4 linked regions of the Coturnix japonica genome follow. The protein of the gene in region 1 purifies or fractionates together with the protein of each later gene. This does not show direct contact. Links are inferred from orthologs where the notes say so. Each region holds a gene or a part of one and is shown in the gene's direction. Other genes may lie near its edges. The genes, in order: LIG3, PARP1, APTX and TDP1.

Region 1 (3,656 bases):
GGCTCAAGTTGTTTTCTGGACTATTTTGATGTGAATCTTATTTTTTTCCATGGTTCTCTTTCTCCTTGAGTCTTGAGAGCTGTTGTTGTGTGCTTCTGGGGAAGGTTTTAGCTGGCAGTTAGTTCTATCAGCTCTTGTAACTGCCTTCATGGTGAGCAATTTCCTTCCTGAAGGAGCTGACCTTAATTCTCTTAAATGTTTATGGTCATTCGGTTTCTCATTAATTGCTGAGATTGCAGGAGGCATCTGGGAAGTGACTAAGGGTAGCCTGGCCTGGTTCCATAGCACAGGGGCCAAATGGCAGTCTGCCCTGCTCCAGGGCTGCACTGCCCCATGCAGCTTCTATGCCTCCTTCAGTGATAGAAACCAGTTGGCCTGGTGCCACCCCAAGCAGTAAGTCAGCTGCCCATGTGCTCTGTTCTCAGTCTAGTCATTGTCATTTGGGCTGTCTTCGCACTGCCTACAGGGACACTGACAGCAGATGTAAATGCTTGTCATGCCATCGAAGAAAGGATTCAGTCTCTCTGCAGGAATGTTTCTGGCTCACTGTGCAGGTAGGGGGGAAGAGAGGTAAAATACTCTCGGACAGAATGTTGGATGTTGGCCATTTTTCAGTCCAGAGAGCCAGGCTCTGAGGAGTTAGTCTGACTTGCTTACTGGTAGATGATATTAATGTGTGGCTTCTCTTAATGTTGAGCTGCTGGGTAGAGAGCAGAGAGCTTGAACATAGCTGACAGAAAAATGGTGACAAAGAGGTGCAGGAAGAAAAAAACGTAAGAGCAAATGCTTCATGGGGTGGGGATAGAAAGTGAGAGGAGCACATGAATTACTGCTTATGTCCGCTTATGAGAGGTTTCACTTTGGCTAAAGGGAATGTTTTGTTTCTGCTCGGACAGGAGCTGTACCAACTCAGCAAAGAAAAGGCTGATTTCAGTGTTGTTGCTGGGGAGGAGGAGGAGTCCACAGCTGGCAGCAGTGGAGAGAATGAGGGAAATTCCAGGTCTTCCACACCACACAAGATGACTAAAACTCCTCCTAAGTCCCCTGCAAAAGCCATGAAACCAGAAGGTAAGGCCTCTCCCCATGGAGGGGAACCTCAGGATGTGTTCTTCACCTTCTACGCGCTGCTTTTATAAAGATGTTTTAGTTAATGGGCAGAGCTGGTTTCAACCCTTGGTTTGGCTTGTGTTGGTGTCTCAGTTATAGACACCACCAAAATTAAACATGATGTAATCTCTGTGGGACTTGCAGTTCCTTTTTATCTTTAATCACAGTCCTTAACAGACTGTGTAAGACTGGTCTGAGCAGCAAACCTGCTGCTCCTGTTCCTGCAGCTACATGCCCTTCAGTTAGATACTTTTGGCCATGAACCAGCATTTAATTTTATTTGGCTTAAGTTCATACATACAGTGCAAGGCACCTGGAGGGGATTTCCAGATAGTAGACTGCAAAGCCATGTGCTGCAGAATAACCTGTAGCAGATTTCTGAGCAATCCCAGAAATATGGTGTGGTGACAGCAAGGAGGAAGGCTGAGCTATGGAGTCAGCTGGAGAGAAAGAAGGGCAGGAAGATGCCCTGATGAATTCTACCATTAGTGGTAGAAAGCAGCATCTTACCAGTTATGTTCTAATGCACAGATTTTCCAGAACAGATTGGGAAAGCCTTTTACCTTTCCATATCCTTGCTTTTCTTTGCCTCCTTTTAATATACAGCTGGGCTGTAGACAGGAACAGTGAGATACATCCTTGTTTTTAGGCACCAAAGCAGTCGCTGAATCCCCTCAAAAGGCAGAGGAGAAACGAGGAGAGAAGCGAAAAGCATCTGAGATAGAAGACAATGGAAAGAAGGTACGGACAGTTGGGCAGCAACCACTCAGGTGGGAGTAAGTGGAGACATTTCAATACTACCTTCCATGTAGGAAGCATTCAAAACTTCCACAGCAGCATCCCAAATTAAAAGGAGATCTAGGGGTGGAGATAGTGATAATGAGACTTGTAAAGAAAGCAGATTTCTGCAGTGTTTTTTTTCCCATACCAGCAGAGTTGACATTACTTTGTTTGTCATTCTCAAGGCTCTCTATCCAGCAACCAACAACGTCCTGCTCTTCAGAGGCAACACATTGTGATTGTTGAGTGGCTGCTTATAGAAAAGAGCTGTATAGGAATTGTCCTTTCTAGCTCATTGTGCAGCAAAGTGTAGGAGTGTATTAAGAATTGCTGAGCTATAATTTACTGATAAGATTGGAGTAGCTGTTTGCTACTCCACAACAGCAAGTCCACTCCCAGGGCAATTATAGTCTCCCACTTCAACTAAGAAACATCAGCTTGTAAAGGCAAAGGCATTAAAACCCCATTCACCTGATCAGCATGTGTAGGCAGCACATGCAAGGGTTACTGATGGAGTAATAATTCCCTTATCCAGGGGTCACTGCTCTGTTGTAGTACCTGCCTTTTAAGGGAGCTGTATGAGCGTTACTCTTCAGTGAGATGCAAGTATAATCTTAAGCTATTTTCCACATAGTGTAACTTTTTAACCAACCTTTGCTTTTCTTTCACACTGCACAGCTGCTGCTGGACATATTCACTGGTGTGAAGCTCTACTTGTCACCCACTGTAAAGGACTACAAGAAAATCCAGCGCTACTTCATAGCATACGATGGTGATCTTGTGTCAGAGTACGACGCAGCCTCAGCAACACACATTATTGGGGACATTGATGAGAATCCTGGTGCTAAGCGGGTGTCTCCCAAATGGATCTGGGAATGCATCCGGAAACGGAGACTGGTGGCCCTGTGCTAGCAGGCAGGGCAGCTGAGTGCTCTTTACACTGCTACACTTCAGGAAATCCCCAAGGGGAACAGTTGAAGTAGGTAGGTGGAAGAAAAGGGTGAGATTCCTCTGTGGGGATGTGGATAGAGATATCGTGCTCAAGTCCATCAGAGGTAGTTAGGATGATCCATAGCAGCTATATGGAATGAATTAAAATAGCTCTCTGAAGGATGTCACTGCTGTCTCTGTTTCTCTGCCCATAGTGTAGACCAACACCCTTATCCAGGTGCTGGTTTCATCTCTGTGGGTTTTTAAAGTTTGGGTATTTTTTATAAATAAATAAATAAACTGAAGCAGTTTCTCCTTTTGCTGTCAGGAGCTTCTTTTCCAAAGGTTATTTGCTGTTTGTCCCACTTTCCACAAAGTTAAGGTAGTACTGCTAAAAGGTTATTTTTTTCCCCTTTAACAAGGCTGTCCTTGTACCTCACCTTGCAATATTTAAACACCTGATATCCCAAACCTTTCCTGGTTTTCTCCTGCTGGTAACAGAGTCAGAAAACAAGGTTAACTAAATCACATTTCAACTTTATTATAAAATTATAAACCAAGCTTCCGTACCAAAACTAGTAAGTTTAACTATCATAGTACCGAGAGGATTTAATAGAGAATAACATGCCATTTCAAGTAGAATATTAACTTTAAAATATTTAAACTATGTACAGCATACATAAAGCACATAAATATTCCCATTTACTTTATTAGTTCAGATCACTATATTCCTTTGGATTATTAAACGAGTCTTCCAGATTTTGATTTAACAAGCAAAACAGTGTAGTCAGAAGGTGCTTTTCCCTTCAGAAAGCACATCTCAGACCTCAGATGGGTAC
Region 2 (4,057 bases), on another chromosome or scaffold:
CTCACTCTCTAATTTCATCAAATAGTCATTTGTGTCTCAGTTGCCACATGGGGACTGTAAAGCAAGGATGATAGCACAGTATTTCCACCTGTGGGTAATGTCAGTGCAAACATTCTGATAATAACTGCGGCAAGTACCATGGCTGTGCTGGGCTCTATGGTATCAACTTTAGACTATGATCTTCCCTAGATGTACAAGCCACACCCCTATTATGTTGCCATGTAATTACTGAGATGAGGCTGCTTGGTGGAGTTCTCAGTCGGTTTGAAATCCTGCTTCTCCTCTACCAACCGCTCATTCCTCGCCTCTTCCCACATCCATTTTCCCATGCATCTGGAATGCTAAAAAAACAGAAGCTTATTTAAAGAAGCTTTCTAAAAAAGGGGGGAAACCATCAGAGCTGCTTCCCAGGGAGTTCTGTGCTGGATTGTAATGTAAAACTGCTCAGGACTGCTGAGGAGGAATCATAGAGCTATTAAGGTTAGAGAATAGCATTAAGTACATCACATCCAACCATCAGTGTGTCAGCTCCATGCCCGCTAACCACATCTCAGTGCCAGGCAGCTCTAGGCACCAAAACCCCACAGGAGCCATGGTAGGAGATACATTCTGTCCCAGAGAGTAGGATAATCCCTTTCATTTATACTGTGATACTATGAGATGCTGTGACACTCACAGAATCACAGAATGACCCGGGTTGGAAGAGACCTCAAGGATCATGTAGTTCCATTGCCTGGCAGGGCCACCAAACCTTTAATGTGGGCTGTATGGCTTTGCGTCCCATTCCCATTGGGGCGGTCTGGCTGATGTCAAGGGGTTGATCGCTGGCACAAAGAGGGAAGGCACAGCTGAGCCATAGCCACTTGTTGCACCTATACAGCTGCCTCAATGCAAGCAAGGTCATACAGCCATAGTGACTGTGTGCAGCACCGTGCAATAAGCAACATATCCATATGGACAGGATAAGTATCCATATAAATATCCATATAGATATCCATATAGATATCCATATAGATATCCATATAAATATCCATATGGGCAGGGTAACACGGCCCGCAGTGCCCCCACTCGTGCTGTGCTGCTGGCGCCCCCTGCTGCTGTAAGGCGGTATCACACCGAGCGGACATGAGCGCACAAGGCCCCGGCCCATTGATACCCCGCACCGCACCGGAAGGTTCCATGCGCCGCCAGACATGCCGAGTCGCTGCCCGAGCGGTGGATGGCGACCAAGCTGCGGGGCGGGCAGTGCGCTCGGCGCTCGGCTATTGCTGCCTGCGGTGGGCGCGCGTCGCGGCTCGGTTCGGCGGGGCCGCGTTGTGGTGTCGGTGGTGGTGGCGATGGCGGAGCCGGGGGACAAGCCGTACCGCGCCGAGTACGCCAAGAGCGGGCGGGCGGCCTGCAAGAAGTGCGGGGACAGCATCGCCAAGGACTCGCTGCGCCTGGCCCTCATGGTGCAGGTACGGCCGCACCGGGGCTCGGCTGCAGTGCCGGGGGCCTCGCGGTTGCCGCCCCCGGGCGCAGAGCGGCGGGTCGGGGCTCGGCCTCACGGTGCTGCGGAGCGCTCGGATCCGAACCGGGGGCGGCGGGGGGCGGCGGTACCGCGGGGCGACCGGTGGAGCCGATGGAGCCGAGCTGAGCTGCACGTGGCCACGTTTCATCCGCCTTTTGTCTGCGGGATGCGGCGCCGCGTTCCGCCGCACGAACGATGCTGAGCGGCTGTGGGCAGGGCCGCATCCAACCCAGCCGGCAGCTCCTCCTGGCCCATCTATGTATGGCCCGGGGCGCACGGAGCGGCCGGCTGTGTTACCGCAGGGCGGGCCTGTGCCCGCAGCACGCGGTGTTAGTAACGCCGCCGTTGTTTGGTGCCAAACCGCCGGGCCGTGCCCTTTGCTGGGTGCCGCAGCGCTGCCAGGCTGTGACCTGGCGGCTCCAAGTCAGCCCAGCACAGCTCTCAGCGGGCGAGGTGCTGCGGAGCTGCAGGGTTGGGCTGTGGTGCCGCCCTGCTGCAGGCTGGGATGTTCCCCTGCCATCGTGGGGACTCTGACACGATGGTGGCCCTTATGGGGCAAGGCCGGTGTTTACCCAAATACCCCCCACCCCGCTCGCTTGGATCTTAGCTGCTGCACCTCAGCCTCGTGTGCTTTTCCTAGTCGCCCATGTTTGATGGCAAAGTCCCTCACTGGCATCACTACAGCTGCTTCTGGAAACGGGCACGGATCGTGTCCCACGCGGATATTGATGGCTTCCCTGAGCTCCGCTGGGAGGACCAGGAGAAAATCAAGAAGGCCATTGAAACCGGAGGCCCTGGAGGAGGTAAGCAGAGCTCTGCTGGTGTTCAAAGCTGGAACCGTGCTCTGTCATCTCAGGCTGTTGTTACAGTTACTTGATGGCCATGTCCCTGCAGCAGGTTGATGTCAGCCTGAGGAAGTGTATTAATAATTTTAAAATTTAAAAAAATAGGAAATGGAAGCTGTCACTTTGAAAGAGGACTTAAATTTTGAGAGGGGTTCTGTTTTGAAGCAGAACACAGAGGTTTATTAATCCAGATTGCTAATAATCTGTAACAGATGGGGAGAAACAAACAAGGAGGGAGGGTGCCTTTTAAAGCTCTGTATTTACCTTTGATCTGCAGGAAAAGGAGGGGACCAGGAAGGAGGTGGCAAAGCGGACAAGAGCCTAACTGACTTTGCTGCAGAGTATGCCAAGTCTAACAGGAGCACTTGCAAAGGCTGCGAGCAGAAAATAGAAAAGGTAAAAAGCTTTTCTTTAGTTCTCCATCTCACCTGTTTTCCCACTGATCCCAGTTCAAACAGAAGCTTCTGCTACTGCATCCTGTATGTCCTGCACTTGGAGGGCAGTTGCAGAGCTGATTTTCTGTGCCTGAGGAACGGCTGCGTCTTGGAATACTGACATAAAGACATGTGCCTCAGGCACTGGAGCCCGGACTTCTGATCTGCTGATGCTTCCTTTTGCATGAGCATTACGGCAGACTGAAATGCTGCTTGCCAGTAGATTTGGTTGGAATAAAAGAGAGAGCCACCACTAACTGCCTTCTGCTTGTTCATGCACTGCAGAGATGTTAGCTGCTTCTTCTCCTTTGTTTCTGTGCAGTGTATAAATCAGACAAAAACAGCAGTACGTCTAATTAATGATGCTGCCCCATATTTCAGCCTGTCTTGTTGCCCTACTTTTAAAGACAATCAGCAAAGTGAAGCCGTGAGCCTCTGATAGGTGAGAATAGAGCTGCCAGTTCTGTGCAGTTGGTGAGGGATGTGTGACGGCGCTGGTACACTTGTGTTTCCAGAAGTGTTAGTGGCTGGGGTGTAGGAAGCATTGCAGTCTAGAAGCACTTAAGCCAAGTACTTCCTTGGGTATCTGAAAAGTAATTTCCAGAGGATGAGATTGTAGTAAAGATTGACTGATAAGGACATAAAGTCAGCTTTCAGAATCCCCTCCATGGGGCTTGGTGATGTGATCTCTGCTTATCTTTGCTTATTCAAGTTAACTGGCAGGGAGTTGAAGTTAAGACTACAGAATTATCTGTTTTAAGTGTTCTTTTTCAACAGAAAGTTACTTAACAGGCACTTTTTCCAGCCTAGGACAAGGTATTAGTGAAAGCATTGGAGCTGTAAGGAAAAGGCTTGGACAGTTGTTTCAGGCTTTGGTGGAGGGGCTATTGGCGTTTAGCAGGTGTGCAGGAAGCATCATGTTGATAACGAGCTTACTAACATCCTGCTTCTCCCAGGACAGCCTAACAATTGCTGTTGTGTCTTTTTAACCTGCCCCAGGGCCAGATTCGGATTTCCAAGAAGATGGTGCATCCTGAAAAACCACAGCTGGGGATGATTGATAACTGGTACCACCCGGACTGCTTCGTGAGCCGCCGGGCAGAGCTGGGCTTCCTCCCTGCATATGGGGCCACCCAGCTCCTGGGCTTCAGCATCTTGAAAGCTGAAGATAAAGAAACTCTGAAGAAGCAACTACCGGCTACTAAGACTGAAGGGTATGTGGGGAATGCGGCAAATCGTGTGATTTCGAGGAACAGTTACTTGCCCTC
Region 3 (4,112 bases), on another chromosome or scaffold:
TGCAGCTGCACTCAATCCAGTTCAACTAAATATCACAAGAAGGCTTCAGAGTCAAAGTAACTTGGTTATCTTATTTAGATAAAGCCACAGAATCACAGAATGACCCGGGTTGGAAGGGACCTCAAGGATCATGTAGTTCCAACCCCCTGCCTGGCAGGGCCACCAAACACACACATTTACTAGATCAGGTTGCCCAGGGCCCCGTCCAACCTGGGGCCACTTACAATGTAAGATCAACTTCCATTTTGATATCGTGGCACCTTACTTAGCACTTACTTTAAGGCTTGTTACTCCTGCGTTTCCTACTCAGTAACAAAAGCTAGGCAACCATTCAGCCAAAGCTTTCCAAGCACAAAGCCCGGTTAGAGACCAACACAAAGCACGGCTTCAAACATTGCACTATGCAACTACCCTCCCCTTGTTTGCTTCGCGCGTTAAGGGACGGCACTTCGGCCGCTTGCACAGATCGGATCCTTAAGGTAAGGAAGCTCACTAAGCCGCACCCCCCACTCAGCTCATTAACCACGGCCTTCAGCGCTACATCTCGCGTTCCCTGAGCAGCCCTCCACCCCCAGGCTGCCTACGGGAACATCCTAAGAACAGCAGAACTGCTCTGCGGGCCCGGGATGGGGTCAGAAGCCGCTCATACCTCTCCTCTCCCTCTGCATCCTCCCACCGCCGCCGAAGAACATGTCGAAAATATCCATGGGGGACCCGAAGCCGCCTCCCGATCCGCCCTCCTTGATGGCCTGCTCGCCGCCCTTGTTGTACAGGTCCCTCTTCTTGGGGTCGGACAGCACCTCATAGGCCTGTGAGATCTGTTTGAACTGCGGGATGGACACACACACACCTCAGACACCCCGCGGTCCCGCCGCTCCCGGCCCTCATTCCCTGCCGCCCCTCACCCACCTTCTCTCCCTCATTGGGGTTCTTATCGGGGTGGTACTTCAGGGCCAGCTTGCGGTACGCCTTCTTCAGCTCCTCAGCCGAGGCGTTGGGGCTGACGCCCAGCACATCGTAGTACCTGGTCTCCTTCACCATGTTGGGCCCTCACTGCCCGCTCTGCCCACACAGCCCCGCTCCGCTCCCGACTCTTCTGGAAAGTTCGGAGCCGGGCCGTATCCGGCGCTTTTGAGACGGCGCCGCCCCGCCCCGGAAGTCAGCTTCAAGAGAGGAACAACCAATAGGAGAAGGAGGCGGAGCGCGCTAAGCCAATCAGCGCCTTCAGCCTCAGCGAGGCCCCGCCCACTCAGGCAGAAGGACTCGAGACGGGAGCGCGCATGCGTCCTTGGCGGAGGTTGTGCGGGGTCGTGCGCGGTGTAGGCCGCGTTGCCATGGTGCGGCCCGCGATGGCGGGCGGCGCGGCCCGGTAACGCGGTGTGTGCTCGGCTCCACAGCGCGGCCATGAGGGACTGCTGGCTGCTGGCCATGGAGGAGCGAGGCCTACGGGTGCTGCTGCCCCACATGGCCGACGTGGTGCTGGGCCGCGGGCCGCTCACAGGCATCACCGACAGGAGGTGCTCGCGGCGGCAAGGTAAGGCCGCGCCTCCCGGCTGCTGCAGCGAGCATAAGGGGGGGGGGGAGTGCTGTCATGTCAGCTTCATCCTTGTGTGTTGTTGCTTAGGACGTGGGTGATGAGGCAGAGCTCTTCTCTCTGCCGCAAGGCTGAGGGTGCACGAGTGTTTTCCCCAAGGGCTGGGTGGGTGGATTTCAGGCCTTTCTTTTCACGGCTTTTCATGACTTTTTGTTCTTTCAGTTGTGTTGAAAGCAGACTGTAACGAGGGATATGTTACTGTTAAGCAGGTATGTTTTTAAGCGGTTTCTTAGTGTTTCTAATGCTTACTGGCCTGTTATGCTTGAAGTCCACTAATACTGCGAATTACAGATCTCATCCTAGATTATGAAGTCCTGGAGCTATTTTGTGGCCATCAGGAGTTCATCAGATGGTCACAGAATCACAGAATGACCCGGGTTGGAAGGGACCTCAAGGATCATGTAGTTCCAACCCCCTGCCTGGCAGGGCCACCAAACATACACCTTTACTAGATCAGGTTGCCCAGGGCCCCGTCCAACCTGGTCTTGAACACCTCCAAGGACGGCGGCATCCACAAACCTCCCTGGGCAGCCTGTTCCAGGGCCTAACCACTCTCCTAGTGAAGAACTTCCCCCTAACATCCAACCTAAATCTTCCCTCTTTTAACTTATAACCATTTCCCCGTGTCCTGCTATTGTCAGCCCTTTCAAAGAGTTTACTCCCCTCCTGGGTGTGGGTTCCCTTCAGGTACTGAAAGGCTGCAATGAGGTCACCCTGCAACCTTCTCTTCTCTAGGCTGAACAAACCCAATTCCCTCAGCCTGTCCTCATAGGGGAGATGCTCCAGCCCCCTGATCATCTTCGTCAGAAAGTCCTCAGAAAGGGTCTGTTTTCCATTTGTACCTCAATGCAGGAGCGCACAGCTGTATTGCTGTCCTGCAATGTGACATGTGCTTTGTTTGACTGAAACTGGCACTGTAGGATGAGGAGGCTTTGGCTAGGATTGGGCAGTCACTCCATCAGATTGAAGATGAGGTGATGAGAAGCATAGTGATGTCTTGTGAAACAAGCATGTTTATGACCGACAGGGTTAAAGAAACATGAGAAGAGTTTATCAGTCAGAAGCAAGAACTGGTTTCCAAAACTTGTTTTGTATATAAACATGAACCAGAAGCATTTAGCTGAAGGCAGGGACTCGTTTCCAAGGGTAGTCTGCATAGCCATACAAAATCTGCTCAGTTGGCCCATGTAGGTTGCCCATGCCATGTTGTGTTACCAGGTATTGCTTTTCCATTACCAGCTGAACTTCAGTAGCTTCTGAGTCTTTAAAACATTATTTTGAATAGAAAACAATTTTCAAGTTGTGTTAAAAGCATAAGGTTTTATGCTTTTATATATAAAAAAGGTTATAAAAGGTTAAAAGCATAAAAATGTACTTCAGCCTGTATATACCTGGCACGAGCTGAGGTGGGCAGAGAGGTTTAGTGTAACTCCAAAGAACAGACACATGTTCTCACTGGCTGTGTTTGAACAGTTAGTTGTGGTCTGGGCAGTGGTACATCTGGCCTGGGAAACAAGAATGGGGGCTGGGAGCTGAGCCCTGTGCAACAGTGTCCTTTGGGAGCTCCAGTAAACTTGTTTCCTCGTTTCTCTTTTCATTACACAGGAGGGAGTGCATTGCAAGTGTTAGCAGTGTGCTGTGGTTAAATGAGAGCTAGCTGCTGTGAGCCTAAACAACCATCTCTTGAGATGAGCTGCAAGTACAGGCTTATGTATTTGAAGGTAGATGTATTGATGGGGTGGCATTCGATAGGTGCTGGATAGATAGCAAAATGTAGTAACAAAGAAAAGAGGATTGACAGAAAATAATGTGAAGTGAGCTTTCTGTGAATTGCTGTATTGAAATAGCTTGTTAAAACTGCTGTTATTTTTTTCAGAAATAATTGTTGCTGAAGCTTTGGTTTGTGTCCAAATGGCTGCAGTCATGAGATTGGTCATTGCCTGGTGCTGCCAATCTTGAGCTTCCCAGAATGGGATGGGGTGGAGTAAAAACCAAACACATAAGCTTTACAGCATGGTGGTTCTCAGGGGTAGCTGACCAGTCGCTGCTGGTGATTTCAGTTACAACATCAGCTTTTAAAATTATTTTTCTCTCTACCAAAGATAGGAGTCAACACAACTAGTGTTGACTTAGTGGATGTTGGCAAGGGTGAAGAGGTGAAAATGAGGCCAGGCCAAGTTCTGCATATGGTGAACAGACGTTACCCCTTTGTGGTGGAATTTAGTGAATTTAGTGAAGAATCAGAGGAAACTGTTACGGAAGAAGAAGAGAAAACACAAACTGAAAAGAGGCCATTTGAGGAGTCCTGTGTGGATGATACAGAAAATGTTCCCAGAAAGGCAAAGAAGATGATGGTGATGGATACACTAAGCAGTTTTTCAGACTTCAGGCCAAGCAAGAGTAGCACACCTCTATTTGAAGAGTCAACGAGCGGAAAGGCAAGTGTATTTGTATCAGTACTTCTGCTGTTTCTCCTGGAGTTGTCTTCTCCATTAGAAAGTTTTCATCTTTATTTCTG
Region 4 (4,059 bases), on another chromosome or scaffold:
CCAGAGGACAGAATCACTCTTGGAACAAATGTTTTCAATTAATTTTTGTGCAGCTGCACAGACAGAACAGCCCACAGCCAGGTGGTCACAGCACTGTCTAGAGACACAACAGGTGTGACATGGCACTTTTCCAGGTAGAAAGTACTAAACCTACATCTCCCTTCTTCCTGGGAGTTCTCCACTTCTATTTTCTTCACAAAAAGGAATCAAGAGTGATTTATGCACAGAAGCTGCTCTTGATTGAATGCCTTAATCATGCTTGCAGAATTCCTACTAAGGAATTTAATATCATATAAATCATATTTCTATTATTTTTATGTTATTTGATCATATACAAAAAGTTATCTATGATCACCTTGAGAATTTCATACAGCTATAGATTTATATTACAGAAGCCAAGGCTAAAAAAGACATTCATTAGAACCCAAAACTAGGTGTTTTTGAGAATACATGTTTATTAGTAGTATGTACAACTGCTTTACATCTCATGAACCCACTATGTAAAGAAATGGAGCGTACCGCTAATAAAAAGCAAGTTTGACTTTGAATCTTGACCAATAACAAGCCCAGTATATCACTTGTTTCATATGGCACATAGATATGAAATACAGTGTGTGCTTCTGCTCATTCTACAGAATAACATCTTAGTAAGAAAGGTTTGATTTCATTCAGATACATACCTCTGACAGCTTATAACCAAACAACATCACTACAGCAACTTCAAAGTCCTCTCTGTCCAGATAGCCTTTGTTACCTTCATCACACACTTCAAAAACCTGCAGAAACAAAGCGAGCTGCATTAAAAACAACAAATCTGACACACTATTTTTTACTTAAAATAACTGTTATGGGAAAAATAAGCACTTGCTTAGTGAACTAAACGATTAAAAGATACGTATAATGAAGCTCAGTCCCACCTCTGTAACAACTATTTTCAACTACCATTAAGGTAACTGAGGGACTAAGAATGGTCCATTTTGAGGTGTTTTTTTTATTTATTTATTATTATTTAAAATATTTTTTCCCCTTCTTCTAAAAGGCTTTCTTTCCCAAAACAAACTTAGAAGACACGGCACAGATTTCTAGAACCAAACTACACTATTCCCAAGGCCCCTCGTCCCCTCCCGCAGCAGCCCCGTCTCGCACCGTGGCACAGCGCTCCCGTAGCGAACCCACGGCGGCGGCTGCCCGGCAACGGCGCCGCTGTGTGGGGCGGAGCGAAAGAGGCACCATCGCCTTCCCCACCTCCTGAACTCGGCCGGCAGCCCGAGCGCTTGGGGAAGCCGCCGTCCTCCCGGAACGGGAAGGGGCGGGCGCAGATTGGCGCGAAGAGGCGCTGTGGTGAGCGGTGTGTTTGTGGGGTGGTGGTGTGTGCCGGGCTGGGGCTGGTAATGGTAACGCCATCATGCTGCTGCCGTGAAGGGTGGGAGCGGCAGTTGGAGCCACTGCAGCCGCTTCCTCCTCGATAGCCGTTTCTGTTTCTTTGTTTCTTGGGAGCAGCTCATTATTGTTTTGCATATGAGGATCGTGTCAGATCTGGGGGGTGGAGGTTATTATAACACGCAAGCGGAGAGTGGGAAGGGAAGCAGCCCGGAGCAGAGCAAAGTGCATGACTTCTAGTCTCTTCTTCATTTATAGTAACATGCTTCAGGAAGGTGCCCACGGGCGGTGGACTGTGTCCAGCAGTGAGGACAGCGCTGAAGACAATTCTGACAGTGAAAAGCCCTCGACGTCCTCGCTACCGAGTGCCCTGCACAGTGAAGCCAGCGGGCCGCAGTACCCCTGCTCTGAGGCGAGGAGGGCTGCTCACAAGAGGAAGGCTTCTCCAATAAAGTTCACTGACACGCACCTCAATGCACAAACACCTCCTGCTGAAAAGCAGAGGCCCGGCCAGGAGGGCTTGGGTTGGTGCCTTTCTAGTAGCGATGAAGAGCCTGAAGACCGGGGGAAGCGAGTCTGCAAGGAAACACTGAAAGAAGAAAAGTGTGATGCACCCGGAGAGCAACTACAGAGTCATTGCAAAGATGAACGTTCAAAGATTGAGAAAGCAGAGGACTATAATGAAGCGTCACGTGAACCCCAAGATACCTGGGATTTGCTGAGTGGAGGGAACCCCTTTGGGTTTTTTCTCACTAAAGTCAGGGGAATTGAGCAGAGCTACAATTGTGGAGCCCTGCACATAAAAGGTGAGCAAGAGGATCTCACAGGAGCGGGCTTTGGGGTGGGAGAGTCTTGCGTGCAAGAGGACACTTAATGTTAGTTTATGGGTTTTTTAAAATGCAAAGATTCCTTGGTTTAAATTAAGCTTCGTAGTTTGAGTGTGAATATTGTAGGAACTGGTCCTGTTTGTTCTTGTCTTTATGGTGTCAAGTAGTTAAGACCTAGTAAATCACTGTTACCTTGACACAGTACACAATACTGCCTGTGAATTTCTGCAGCTTATGTTCTCAGTCACACATCAGGGCAACTGAAGTGAGCATAAGTAAGAGGTGGAATAGCGTGTGACACTGATGGTTTGATAATGCCATGACTGAAATTAGTTTTAGTTTATGTAAAACTACATCCGTACATTCAGGAAACCTCACGCATCACAAGCCTAAATCAAAACCAATCATTAACAGGGGGTTTCACAGCAGAACGAGGGACTTCAGTATCTGAATCTAGCATCTAGTAATTGTGCTGTTCAAGACTCAAAAAGTTCACTTGAGCTTTTTATACTCAATTGTGTATTAATGTTTTTAATAGATATCTTGTCTCCTCTTTTTGGGACCCTTGTGTCTTCTGCTCAGGTGAGTTTCCTATTTGCCAGATTGCCATTGCTTGCTTATTTACCCTTACTATCCTTAAACATGTAAGTGATAATCCATGTTTTGCCACCTAGCTGATTTCAGCAGGGAATTTCATTAAAATACTAAGAGAACGCTGAATGCTTTCAACTGTACATTGTTTTAATAAAAAATAAATGTGATCCTGTGTTCTGCTTAGAGTTCAAGCAAATGTTGAACTACTTTCTCTCTTGTGCTCTGGAAATGTGCAACTGAAAAATGCATCCTCATGTAACTGAATGATAAAACAGAAGGTGTTTTGCATTCTAGGAGTGAGATTTTTGTTACTGCATGAAGCAATTCCTTTTCTTCTTGGTGTAACCACATGGCAAAGGGCACGCTGAACTTCAGCTTTTACATTATGTGGCTGTAATTATTTCTGTCTGCATTCTAAACTTTATGAACACTACTTCATGCTTTTGATTAACTTAAATTTATTCTTGAATGAAGAGATGAGGAAGAGAGCATTTGAAATTGAAAAATGAACCTGTTGTTAAAACATGCTGATTGCAGTTTTGTACTGCTGTTGTGCAAAGGAGCATCATTGTGCGTCTGTATAATGTAAGTGATAATGAACAATAACTTCATGTAAAAAGCATTTTTTTCTGTACTCCATCATTCTGACAGACGGCTACTTCTTTTTAATGAGCTTGTTTTCCTTCTTATGTACAAGTTTAACTACTGTATAGATGTGGCATGGCTCGTGAGACAGTATCCTGAGGAGTACAGGTAGGCTTGCTTTACAAAAATGAAATAATACAATTTCCAAGTTACTCTGTTCATGTAAATTCATCTTATAATTGAATGATAAACCAGTACTTCTCAATTATGTGCACATAGGCATATTCCACACTTATTCCACTATATTTCTCAACTGATTTCTTGCCTCTTATGAGACAATGTTAAATGGTGACAATTCAGTATGGCTGGTTTTGATTTTTATTAGGTAATGTTTAAGACACCCAATCGCAGGCCAAGACAGCAGTGCAGTAGATGAAATGTGAAAACAGAATAAGAATTTCTGTGTTGGATGAGCATGAAAGAAGTGTGTGAAAGAAACTGGAATGATACGTCATGGCTAGAGTTGCTGTATACCGTCGTGGAAGCAGCTCTTATTTCCTTTAAAGGACATTCTGACAATGGCAGTTTATCACAGATGACACTGAATTTTCTTCTCATTTTGCATTTTACTGAAAATTCAGTAGAGCAAATTATTATAAAGTAAACATGGAAC

What was found.
Region 2: the proteins of LIG3 (region 1) and PARP1 purify together in Homo sapiens (affinity purification with mass spectrometry; 3 studies listed by BioGRID and IntAct, with this or other methods). This does not show direct contact. The link is inferred for Coturnix japonica from reciprocal best matches to the Homo sapiens genes LIG3 and PARP1.
Region 3: the proteins of LIG3 (region 1) and APTX purify together in Homo sapiens (affinity purification with mass spectrometry; 3 studies listed by BioGRID and IntAct, with this or other methods). This does not show direct contact. The link is inferred for Coturnix japonica from reciprocal best matches to the Homo sapiens genes LIG3 and APTX.
Region 4: the proteins of LIG3 (region 1) and TDP1 purify together in Homo sapiens (affinity purification with mass spectrometry; 4 studies listed by BioGRID and IntAct, with this or other methods). This does not show direct contact. The link is inferred for Coturnix japonica from reciprocal best matches to the Homo sapiens genes LIG3 and TDP1.

What each region holds. Positions count from the first base shown.
Region 1 is NC_029534.1:3,391,739-3,395,394, reverse strand, and holds the end of LIG3 (DNA ligase 3), read left to right. Parts: intron 1-896; coding exon 897-1,068; intron 1,069-1,756; coding exon 1,757-1,848; coding exon of another isoform or gene 1,849-1,883; intron 1,884-2,565; coding exon 2,566-2,799; 3' UTR 2,800-3,144; downstream 3,145-3,656. UniProt on the Homo sapiens protein: Isoform 3 functions as a heterodimer with DNA-repair protein XRCC1 in the nucleus and can correct defective DNA strand-break repair and sister chromatid exchange following treatment with ionizing radiation and alkylating agents.
Region 2 is NC_029518.1:14,814,992-14,819,048, forward strand, and holds the start of PARP1 (poly [ADP-ribose] polymerase 1), read left to right. Parts: upstream 1-1,254; 5' UTR 1,255-1,337; coding exon 1,338-1,457; intron 1,458-2,150; coding exon 2,151-2,313; intron 2,314-2,632; coding exon 2,633-2,751; intron 2,752-3,788; coding exon 3,789-4,003; intron 4,004-4,057. UniProt on the Homo sapiens protein: Poly-ADP-ribosyltransferase that mediates poly-ADP-ribosylation of proteins and plays a key role in DNA repair.
Region 3 is NC_029547.1:62,424,996-62,429,107, reverse strand, and holds the start of APTX (aprataxin), read left to right. Parts: upstream 1-1,261; 5' UTR 1,262-1,404; coding exon 1,405-1,534; intron 1,535-1,756; coding exon 1,757-1,803; intron 1,804-3,696; coding exon 3,697-4,032; intron 4,033-4,112. Other genes in the region: DNAJA1 (dnaJ homolog subfamily A member 1), read right to left, coding at 650-827, 910-1,041. UniProt on the Homo sapiens protein: DNA-binding protein involved in single-strand DNA break repair, double-strand DNA break repair and base excision repair.
Region 4 is NC_029520.1:39,634,451-39,638,509, forward strand, and holds the start of TDP1 (tyrosyl-DNA phosphodiesterase 1), read left to right. Parts: upstream 1-1,245; 5' UTR 1,246-1,341; exon of another isoform or gene 1,342-1,348; intron 1,349-1,372; exon of another isoform or gene 1,373-1,394; intron 1,395-1,638; 5' UTR 1,639-1,642; coding exon 1,643-2,186; intron 2,187-2,745; coding exon 2,746-2,789; intron 2,790-3,498; coding exon 3,499-3,554; intron 3,555-4,059. Other genes in the region: EFCAB11 (EF-hand calcium-binding domain-containing protein 11), read right to left, coding at 681-776, 1,147-1,233. UniProt on the Homo sapiens protein: DNA repair enzyme that can remove a variety of covalent adducts from DNA through hydrolysis of a 3'-phosphodiester bond, giving rise to DNA with a free 3' phosphate.